Linked DNA regions of Saccharomyces cerevisiae S288C. The gene in region 2 interacts genetically with the main gene of each other region. Each region holds a gene or a part of one and is shown on either strand. Other genes may lie near its edges.

The links.
Region 1: mutations in UPC2 (region 2) and AIM4 together harm fitness more than expected from each alone (negative genetic interaction), as found in Saccharomyces cerevisiae (2 studies listed by BioGRID).
Region 3: mutations in UPC2 (region 2) and PIR5 together harm fitness more than expected from each alone (negative genetic interaction), as found in Saccharomyces cerevisiae (2 studies listed by BioGRID).

What each region holds. Positions count from the first base shown.
Region 1 is NC_001134.8:608,523-611,001, forward strand, and holds AIM4 (Aim4p), read left to right. Parts: upstream 1-1,515; coding exon 1,516-1,887; downstream 1,888-2,479. Other genes in the region: RIM2 (Rim2p), read left to right, coding at 1-263; RNA polymerase II mediator complex subunit MED8, read right to left, coding at 560-1,231; MSI1 (Msi1p), read right to left, coding at 2,092-2,479.
Region 2 is NC_001136.10:887,781-892,992, forward strand, and holds UPC2 (Upc2p), read left to right. Parts: upstream 1-1,970; coding exon 1,971-4,712; downstream 4,713-5,212. Other genes in the region: chaperonin-containing T-complex alpha subunit TCP1, read left to right, coding at 1-1,131; AHA1 (Aha1p), read left to right, coding at 5,095-5,212. UniProt on the Saccharomyces cerevisiae protein: Transcription factor that is involved in activation of anaerobic genes such as DAN/TIR cell wall mannoprotein genes and YML083c.
Region 3 is NC_001142.9:117,370-120,344, reverse strand, and holds PIR5 (beta-1,3-glucan linked protein), read left to right. Parts: upstream 1-1,519; coding exon 1,520-2,383; downstream 2,384-2,975. Other genes in the region: FMP33 (Fmp33p), read right to left, coding at 2,558-2,975.

The DNA of each region.
Region 1 (2,479 bases), on a different chromosome or scaffold from region 2:
GATCAGGAAGCGCTGGTCTTGCAAAATTTGTGGCTAGTATAGCAACATATCCGCACGAAGTTGTCAGGACGAGATTGAGACAAACGCCCAAGGAAAATGGTAAACGAAAGTATACAGGTTTAGTACAAAGTTTCAAAGTTATAATTAAAGAAGAGGGACTCTTTTCAATGTATAGTGGGTTGACCCCGCATTTGATGAGAACAGTTCCGAACAGTATAATTATGTTTGGTACATGGGAAATTGTTATAAGGCTACTATCGTAGCCTTGAAATCTAAAAAACTCTAAATTCACTTTAGGGCCAAGACATACTCTAACAAAAAAGTATGAAAAAAGTGCATTTTGTAAGGATATAAAGCCTGTCAAAGTTTATAGAAAGCTAACCTACTAAGGTTTGGACCCCTTCGTTTCTTCTCCTTTACTTTGCATTATTTATCGTAACATATCAATGATCCTTATTTACTTCATTCAGTAAATTGGTCCTTTTATACTTGTAAATATTTTTACCAGGTCACTAGTAACAATAAAATGTTTTAAAATATCAGTAGCGTGAAGTAAAATTCAATTACTAGATGATGTTGAAGTAGATCCCGTAATAATGGGCTTTTCCCCTGTGAAGGTGAACTTTAGAACATCATCCACATTGAAAGGTTTCGAAGGTTTGCTATCTCGTACTAGAAGTGAAGCGTGTTCTTCGCTTAGGGATTCTTCATTTTTGAAATCGTGCTTTCCATATTCGTTTCTAAACGTAGTGCGCGCCCAATTCGTTATTTCTCTGTCCTGTTGCAGCAGCTTTTCTATTTCTTCATCCTTTAGCAAGGCTGTAGTTACTCCAGATGTTTCCCTAACATATTTCATCCATTCGTCCACTTCAGGAATATTCTTCTTCCTCAAAAGGGTAGTGACCAAACTTTCATGAGAGGTGGTTGGGAATTTAGGCAAAGGGTAAACCACTGTAGAGTCTAAAGTTTCTTGGAAATGTTGTAGAGTGGAGGTTACAGAAACGAGCTGGGATAATGTGACATTCAGTTGTGATTGGAGTGTATACCATTGTGGCAGTTCGGCTTTGGACATTTCGTCTCTGATTCTCCTCAATGAATGAGTTAATTGAGCCAAACGCATGCGCACGGCATCTAAAGCCTGGCCAGGTACACCATTGAAATCAAAACTAACATCTTCTTGGAGGGAGCCTTGATTGCCCTCTGGTACCAGTGATGCAGTAGATTGTGACATATTCCACGTTGCTTTATGTTTTTCTTTTGTTCTTCTTGCTCGGGGTTCTCTTATATCGATGAAATATTTCAATATTAAAATCCTTAACTTTGACGAAAAGGCAATTTTTGTATATTGAGTTTCCTTACTTTTTTGAACAGAACGTACTTTTAGACACTTTGCAAAGGCCTTCAGCAAATTTTTTTGATTATTTTCAAATATCAAGGAAATATATTACCTTCAAAGTCATCCAATCCTTTTAGTTCTCGCATTCCATCATTTTATACTATATACGTTTGAGCTTAATGGATCAAAAGAAGGACCCAAGTAATAACTTAACAGAAAGAAGGGTTTCCAAGGTCCAACGCCCAAATAAGAAAAAGGTACGAAATCAAGTTGAATCACTTTCTAGAAACCTAGAGAGAAATAAAGAGGGACAGCTTCTGCAGACTGTATCAAAAGGTCATTTAGAAGCTGATTCTGGACACTCACTGGGTCGTGAAAAAGAGAACGGTGAACTCGGTATAAGAAGTATATTTTACGATAAAGACTGGAATCCAAGAGGCACTGCACCATCACATTACAGAAATATACCTTATAATCCTGCCACTTTCAAAAGGCGAACTGAAGTTCAAGCCAGACTGGGAAACCTCGAGAATATCAAAATACCAAAGTGAAAGTTCAAAGGTAATAAATGAGCAACCACTTTCTTCGAAATACAATATTGAAATCAGCATGAAGTCTGAGCGTAGTGTTTATTGTAGCAAGTCTTGAGCATATTTTATAAACTCTATTTATGTTTGTATATTCGTCTATCAAATGGTTGAATATGTAATAGGGACAGGAGCCATTAGCATGCCTGGCTTCAAGGAACGTTTAGGTCACGAATGTCCAACAAGGTTTCCTGCAGGTTTCCATATGTGAACTGAATTATCATTTGCCACACTGCACATTAACCAAGGGTCATGAGCGTCCCACGAAATGTCGTTCACACCGAGCATATGACCACCATGGGTAAATATAGTTTCTTCGCAGGAGGTATCCCATAGCTTGACTAACCCATCTTCTTGGCCAGCCGTTGCCAATACAGTATCGAAATTTGGACTCCATTCTAAAGTTGAAACGGAAGTACCGTGCTCCATGGTAGCGATTGGGCTTTTGTTCATGTTTCTAATATCCCATAAATTTAGCCTCCCATTTGAATCTGCAGATGCTAGAATTAAAGAGTTCTTATAGTTAAATCTACAGGAGTTTACTCCACCATCGTGT
Region 2 (5,212 bases):
CTTTTGGCTGTTAAGACGCAAAATTCCAAAGGAGAAATCAAGTATCCCGTAAAGGCTGTCAATGTGTTGAAAGCTCATGGTAAATCTGCCACTGAATCACTGTTGGTGCCAGGTTATGCTTTGAATTGTACAGTTGCTTCTCAAGCAATGCCTAAACGTATCGCCGGTGGCAATGTGAAAATCGCATGTTTGGATTTGAACTTGCAGAAAGCTCGTATGGCAATGGGTGTTCAAATCAACATTGATGATCCGGAACAATTGGAGCAAATCCGTAAACGTGAAGCTGGTATTGTTTTGGAAAGAGTGAAGAAGATCATTGATGCTGGTGCTCAAGTTGTGTTAACCACCAAAGGTATTGATGATTTATGCTTAAAGGAGTTCGTTGAAGCTAAGATAATGGGTGTAAGACGCTGTAAGAAGGAAGATTTGAGAAGAATTGCACGCGCTACAGGCGCCACTTTGGTTAGTTCTATGTCTAACTTAGAAGGTGAGGAAACTTTCGAAAGCAGTTATTTAGGTCTTTGTGATGAAGTAGTTCAAGCCAAATTTTCTGATGATGAGTGTATCTTAATTAAGGGTACTTCTAAACATTCATCTTCTTCGATCATTTTAAGAGGTGCCAACGATTATTCTTTAGATGAGATGGAACGTTCTTTGCACGATTCTCTTTCTGTTGTCAAAAGAACGCTTGAAAGTGGAAATGTTGTCCCCGGTGGAGGTTGCGTTGAAGCCGCATTGAATATCTATTTGGACAATTTTGCCACCACAGTTGGTTCTCGTGAACAGTTAGCTATTGCTGAGTTTGCAGCTGCATTATTAATCATTCCAAAAACTTTAGCTGTTAACGCTGCCAAGGATTCTAGTGAATTAGTTGCAAAATTAAGGTCCTACCATGCCGCTAGTCAAATGGCCAAGCCAGAGGACGTTAAGAGGAGAAGCTACAGAAATTACGGCCTAGATTTGATTAGAGGTAAAATTGTGGACGAGATTCACGCTGGTGTTCTTGAGCCAACCATAAGCAAAGTCAAATCCTTGAAATCAGCATTGGAGGCTTGTGTAGCAATTCTAAGAATTGATACAATGATTACAGTGGATCCAGAACCACCCAAAGAAGATCCGCACGATCATTGATTCTTTGCGTAATCCGAACGAGATTCTGTATCTGCATGTAAACTAATAAACCTATATAAAATTTAATTATATTTTTTTCAGCTAGTTCTATTTTTGAATTTGATCGCTAACTCTGGGCAGTTGATAAGCGCTTCCCAGCTTTTCACGTGCGAGGTGGACTAATACGTAATAACGCGTACCTATTAGGACTTCGTTGAGTTGTTTTTCTTGTCCAAATGCAGAAGCGGGTCCCTACAAACTATTGTGTTTGTTCGTAAACGAGCAGGAACCCTGTTAAAGGAAAAAAGCTTAACGCTAGCGTTACATTTTAGTAAGGCGGCAATAAAAAAGAATGCGGAGTGTATTCCATGAATTCAATTGCGCTTACTGCTAAGCCTGTTTCTAAACATGATCCCCAGGGTGAATATCTCCCATAGTGGCTGTGTTATTCTGTCTAAATGTGGCAGCTAAATAAGGTTTTTTCCAAGCTATTTTTTTCTCTAAACGAGCGCACCTTAGCGGGATCGCGTCAAATTTTCGCCCAACGAATATTATTCTATTGTCTTCAGTGAATGTGCTTGTCGAAATCTATATATGCGCCGCCCTGGCAGGATCAGCAAATACAAGTTACTTGGAAAGTCGCGGCATAGAAAGTAGACACTTCTTTTGTCAAAGATTGATATTGCTTTCAGGGTGCGATAGTGCTGACTGTTCCTCTAAACAGCGATTTTTTACATACATTAACTTTTTGAAGTTGTAGGAACTATCTTTTCTCATTTATCCAACACTAAAACAAAATTGAGCTTTCCAGAAATAGTGAATCAAAAAAAGTTAAGTACAAATATTTACAGTTCAGCAGTATGAGCGAAGTCGGTATACAGAATCACAAGAAAGCGGTGACAAAACCCAGAAGAAGAGAAAAAGTCATCGAGCTAATTGAAGTGGACGGCAAAAAGGTGAGTACGACTTCAACCGGTAAACGTAAATTCCATAACAAATCAAAGAATGGGTGCGATAACTGTAAAAGAAGAAGAGTTAAGTGTGATGAAGGGAAGCCAGCCTGTAGGAAGTGCACAAATATGAAGTTGGAATGTCAGTATACACCAATCCATTTAAGGAAAGGTAGAGGAGCAACAGTAGTGAAGTATGTCACGAGAAAGGCAGACGGTAGCGTGGAGTCTGATTCATCGGTAGATTTACCTCCTACGATCAAGAAGGAGCAGACACCGTTCAATGATATCCAATCAGCGGTAAAAGCTTCAGGCTCATCCAATGATTCCTTTCCATCAAGCGCCTCTACAACTAAGAGTGAGAGCGAGGAAAAGTCATCGGCCCCTATAGAGGACAAAAACAATATGACTCCTCTAAGTATGGGCCTCCAGGGTACCATCAATAAGAAAGATATGATGAATAACTTTTTCTCTCAAAATGGCACTATTGGTTTTGGTTCTCCTGAAAGATTGAATTCAGGTATCGATGGCTTACTATTACCGCCATTGCCTTCTGGAAATATGGGTGCGTTCCAACTTCAGCAACAGCAGCAAGTGCAGCAGCAATCTCAACCACAGACCCAAGCGCAGCAAGCAAGTGGAACTCCAAACGAGAGATATGGTTCATTCGATCTTGCGGGTAGTCCTGCATTGCAATCCACGGGAATGAGCTTATCAAATAGTCTAAGCGGGATGTTACTATGTAACAGGATTCCTTCCGGCCAAAACTACACTCAACAACAATTACAATATCAATTACACCAGCAGCTGCAATTGCAACAGCATCAGCAAGTTCAGCTGCAGCAGTATCAACAATTACGTCAGGAACAACACCAACAAGTTCAGCAACAACAACAGGAACAACTCCAGCAATACCAACAACATTTTTTGCAACAGCAGCAACAAGTACTGCTTCAGCAAGAGCAACAACCTAACGATGAGGAAGGTGGCGTTCAGGAAGAAAACAGCAAAAAGGTAAAGGAAGGGCCTTTACAATCACAAACAAGCGAAACTACTTTAAACAGCGATGCTGCTACATTACAAGCTGATGCATTATCTCAGTTAAGTAAGATGGGGCTAAGCCTAAAGTCGTTAAGTACCTTTCCAACAGCTGGTATTGGTGGTGTTTCCTATGACTTTCAGGAACTGTTAGGTATTAAGTTTCCAATAAATAACGGCAATTCAAGAGCTACTAAGGCCAGCAACGCAGAGGAAGCTTTGGCCAATATGCAAGAGCATCATGAACGTGCAGCTGCTTCTGTAAAGGAGAATGATGGTCAGCTCTCTGATACGAAGAGTCCAGCGCCATCGAATAACGCCCAAGGGGGAAGTGCTAGTATTATGGAACCTCAGGCGGCTGATGCGGTTTCGACAATGGCGCCTATATCAATGATTGAAAGAAACATGAACAGAAACAGCAACATTTCTCCATCAACGCCCTCTGCAGTGTTGAATGATAGGCAAGAGATGCAAGATTCTATAAGTTCTCTAGGAAATCTGACAAAAGCAGCCTTGGAGAACAACGAACCAACGATAAGTTTACAAACATCACAGACAGAGAATGAAGACGATGCATCGCGGCAAGACATGACCTCAAAAATTAATAACGAAGCTGACCGAAGTTCTGTTTCTGCTGGTACCAGTAACATCGCTAAGCTTTTAGATCTTTCTACCAAAGGCAATCTGAACCTGATAGACATGAAACTGTTTCATCATTATTGCACAAAGGTCTGGCCTACGATTACAGCGGCCAAAGTTTCTGGGCCTGAAATATGGAGGGACTACATACCGGAGTTAGCATTTGACTATCCATTTTTAATGCACGCTTTGTTGGCATTCAGTGCCACCCATCTTTCGAGGACTGAAACTGGACTGGAGCAATACGTTTCATCTCACCGCCTAGACGCTCTGAGATTATTAAGAGAAGCTGTTTTAGAAATATCTGAGAATAACACCGATGCGCTAGTTGCCAGCGCCCTGATACTAATCATGGACTCGTTAGCAAATGCTAGTGGTAACGGCACTGTAGGAAACCAAAGTTTGAATAGCATGTCACCAAGCGCTTGGATCTTTCATGTCAAAGGTGCTGCAACAATTTTAACCGCTGTGTGGCCTTTGAGTGAAAGATCTAAATTTCATAACATTATATCTGTTGATCTTAGCGATTTAGGCGATGTCATTAACCCTGATGTTGGAACAATTACTGAATTGGTATGTTTTGATGAAAGTATTGCCGATTTGTATCCTGTCGGCTTAGATTCGCCATATTTGATAACACTAGCTTATTTAGATAAATTGCACCGTGAAAAAAACCAGGGTGATTTTATTCTGCGGGTATTTACATTTCCAGCATTGCTAGACAAGACATTCCTGGCATTACTGATGACAGGTGATTTAGGTGCAATGAGAATTATGAGATCATATTATAAACTACTTCGAGGATTTGCCACAGAGGTCAAGGATAAAGTCTGGTTTCTCGAAGGAGTCACGCAGGTGCTGCCTCAAGATGTTGACGAATACAGTGGAGGTGGTGGTATGCATATGATGCTAGATTTCCTCGGTGGCGGATTACCATCGATGACAACAACAAATTTCTCTGATTTTTCGTTATGATAGAAAATTTAAAAGTGCAGAATATTCGAAATAGATTCCCAAAAAAAAAAAAAGGGATATTGTGTTACCCAGTTCACAATGGAATTTTCTAGAAGAAAAAACAAAGAAGCCTCGCAACAAACCAAGATGGATTCAAAATGCCTACTTACCGCATTGTATGTGGGAGAATGAACATATCTGTAATTGTATTATATAAAAGTAGTTAGTTTTTTTTTTTTTTTTTTTTTTTTTTTTTTTTTATGTGTAATGCAAATACAAAAAGAACTGCAGGCATTTTGAAAGTTCACTCGTATAGGAAACTTTGATAGAGAGGCAATTCCTTACTTTCGTTATTCCTTTCAGTCTTATTCTTAATCGTTTATAGTAGCAACAATATATCAATATGGTCGTGAATAACCCAAATAACTGGCACTGGGTCGATAAGAACTGCATCGGATGGGCCAAGGAGTATTTCAAACAGAAACTGGTTGGAGTGGAGGCCGGTTCGGTGAAGGATAAAA
Region 3 (2,975 bases), on a different chromosome or scaffold from region 2:
CGTTAGACTTCAAGTGTTCCTTTTATATCTCGAGGATTCCTACCATTCAAGCTAATAAATTTTTCACCAACCATTCCTTTTTTAGGATCTTTCTTATTTTGACCAAAATCTAAATTTAGCTCAAAATGTGGTGTTCCGCTTGAGAAAACACTCATTTGTACTATTAGTTTTCCTGATCTGGTAAAGAAATGAAAAATTAGGCTGAGTTGGCGACTTATCACTACAGACGGAAAGCCATTAATGAGCTTTTTTGTCTTTAATAATTTCCGAAATAGGAAATAGTAAGATCACTTAATATGAATAACTCCCAAGAATTACCATTTACGGCCCCTTCCAATAGAGGTGGGAAATGTGTATGTGCATTGTGAGGGTCGCCTAATTGGGCAGAAGGGGGGAGAAATGAGCGTGGCAAAGCAGTGAGATTGACTCGTTTTGCGGCCAGCAACGTGTTGGACATGGCGGACCTGCCTGCATTAATTATAGCACAAAGCCTATCATTCATCGCATCCTTGTGCAAGTTCTAAGTTCACCTCCATATGGATTAGCGGCCAGGATAATGGAAAAAATTTACCATACTTTTTTTTGCAGAATAGATCAACAGTTTGGTGCATTTGTTCCTTCTTGTTTTTTTTTTGCTTGTTTTTACAATTTTTACTGTTTTACTATGAACTGATGGCTGGTATAGTGACAGAGTTTCTACTTTTTTGCTACTTAGTAGACTACTATACTAACTAGGACATATGTTGTTCGTAACGGTAAATGCACTTAAAGTATTTTACTGTTTTTAATTGGATTTGCTTGTTGTAGTAATTTTTGGACTGATTTCGGTCAATCGCTATTTTAATTTTTACTGTTCCTTGCATCTTTTACTAATCCGAAATTAGCTCAGCTCAAATTTGTAGTTTACTAAAGTACGCTTTTCCTAAAAGACGAAAACACAAATATAGTGAAGACATTATCCGACTTTTTTGCCAAAAAGGGACAAAGCACGAAATTAAGTAAAACTGTGGTAAAAACTACAGAGGAACGTCGCATTGGCTAGCAAGGATCTATTGTTACTCTATCAAAACCCCTTTGCCAAGCTCACATATCCTATTTGCCGTTCCTGAAGGCATCCAACTAGGCTTGATATCATCTTACTTATATAGTGGGCTTCTGCTCCTTAACCTGATCAATTTCACCTCTAATTTTGTAGGATTCCTGAGAAAATACAGAAATTCTAACGTTCCTCTGATATATTACGAGTGAATCATTGGGTATATATAAGAGAAGTGGAGTAACAAAAGCTGTAGAAAGTAAGTTACACAGAGTCACAAAAGAATATCGACTTTTTGTGCAAGAAAATTCGACTGTTTTGACTCACAAAATTATTCTTTTTGCGAAAGAGTGGGGAAACGAAAACAGTTAAAAGAGTAAAATAACTTGTATACATATACTTATCTTCTTGTTTCGAAATTTCTGTTTAGTCTCGATTTTTTAATTCTATACAACTTACTGAAGAAGTGAACACCGCCCCAATATGCATTACAAGAAAGCATTTCTAGCATCTCTATTAAGTAGTATTGCGCTAACTGCGTACGCTCCACCTGAACCCTGGGCAACTTTAACTCCAAGCTCTAAAATGGATGGTGGCACAACAGAGTACCGGACCTCATTCGGTCTCGCTGTTATACCTTTCACCGTTACTGAAAGTAAGGTCAAAAGAAACGTCATTTCACAAATTAATGACGGTCAAGTGCAAGTAACGACACAAAAATTACCTCATCCAGTTTCGCAAATTGGAGACGGCCAAATACAAGTTACAACGCAGAAGGTGCCTCCAGTAGTGTCACATATTGTGTCACAAATAGGCGATGGTCAATTACAAATAACTACAGCTAAAAATGTTGTCACAAAGTCCACAATTGCTGTTCCAAGTAAAACTGTAACTGCGACAGCAACTTCAACCGCAACTGCTGTTTCTCAGATTCATGATGGTCAAGTGCAAGTTACTATTTCTTCAGCCAGTAGTAGTTCTGTGCTTTCCAAGAGTAAGTTAGAGCCAACAAAGAAACCAAATAATGAAAAAGTGATCAAGGTGCAAGCCTGTAAAAGTTCTGGCACCTTGGCAATAACGTTACAAGGAGGTGTTCTTATTGACTCCAGTGGTAGAATTGGATCGATAGTAGCAAACAGACAGTTCCAATTTGATGGTCCACCTCCACAGGCGGGCGCTATTTACGCTGGCGGCTGGTCGATAACGAAGCATGGCACTTTAGCTATTGGTGATAATGACGTGTTTTACCAATGTCTGTCGGGCACTTTCTATAACCTTTACGATCAGTCTATCGGGGGCCAGTGCAATCCCGTTCATTTACAAACAGTTGGTCTCGTCGATTGTTGAATCACCAACATTATAATCTTGCAGGTCTTGATTGTACTTCAAAAATATAACTAAAATAATAGTATAAAAGTAAGTCTGTCTTACTATGTATGGGGCGCGTTATAATTTTACGTATTCACAAACGAGTTTTCATTTACTTCATCGTTTTTATTTTCGGAGATGTTGCCTTCTGCATTACTCAAAGCGCACTCCAGCTTTTTCCAGCTGTTTCATCCTAAGTTTAAGTGCCATATAAATCAACGGTGGGAACCCTAAAACACTAACGACACTTCCCTTATAAAGAATGGATTTTTTGCCTAAGGTGGAATTGCCTATTAGGCTCGAAAGTTGAATGAGAAACCCCCAAACAATCGAAAATTGAGAGACATCACTGTACGTCAAAGAATGAAGTACTTTATGGAGGTCACTCTTTTGTAAGTCAAGCTCTTTCTCTTGATAGGTATCAAGTGCTGGCTTGAATATTCTATTGGGAGCGTCATGGACTATATTTACAATGTCGTCTTCTGCGATGGCATGGGGATCTTCTTGCTCTTTGGACTTATTCAAGCTATTTGATTCTAGATATAGGCATGCCAGACCTGTCCCATACAGT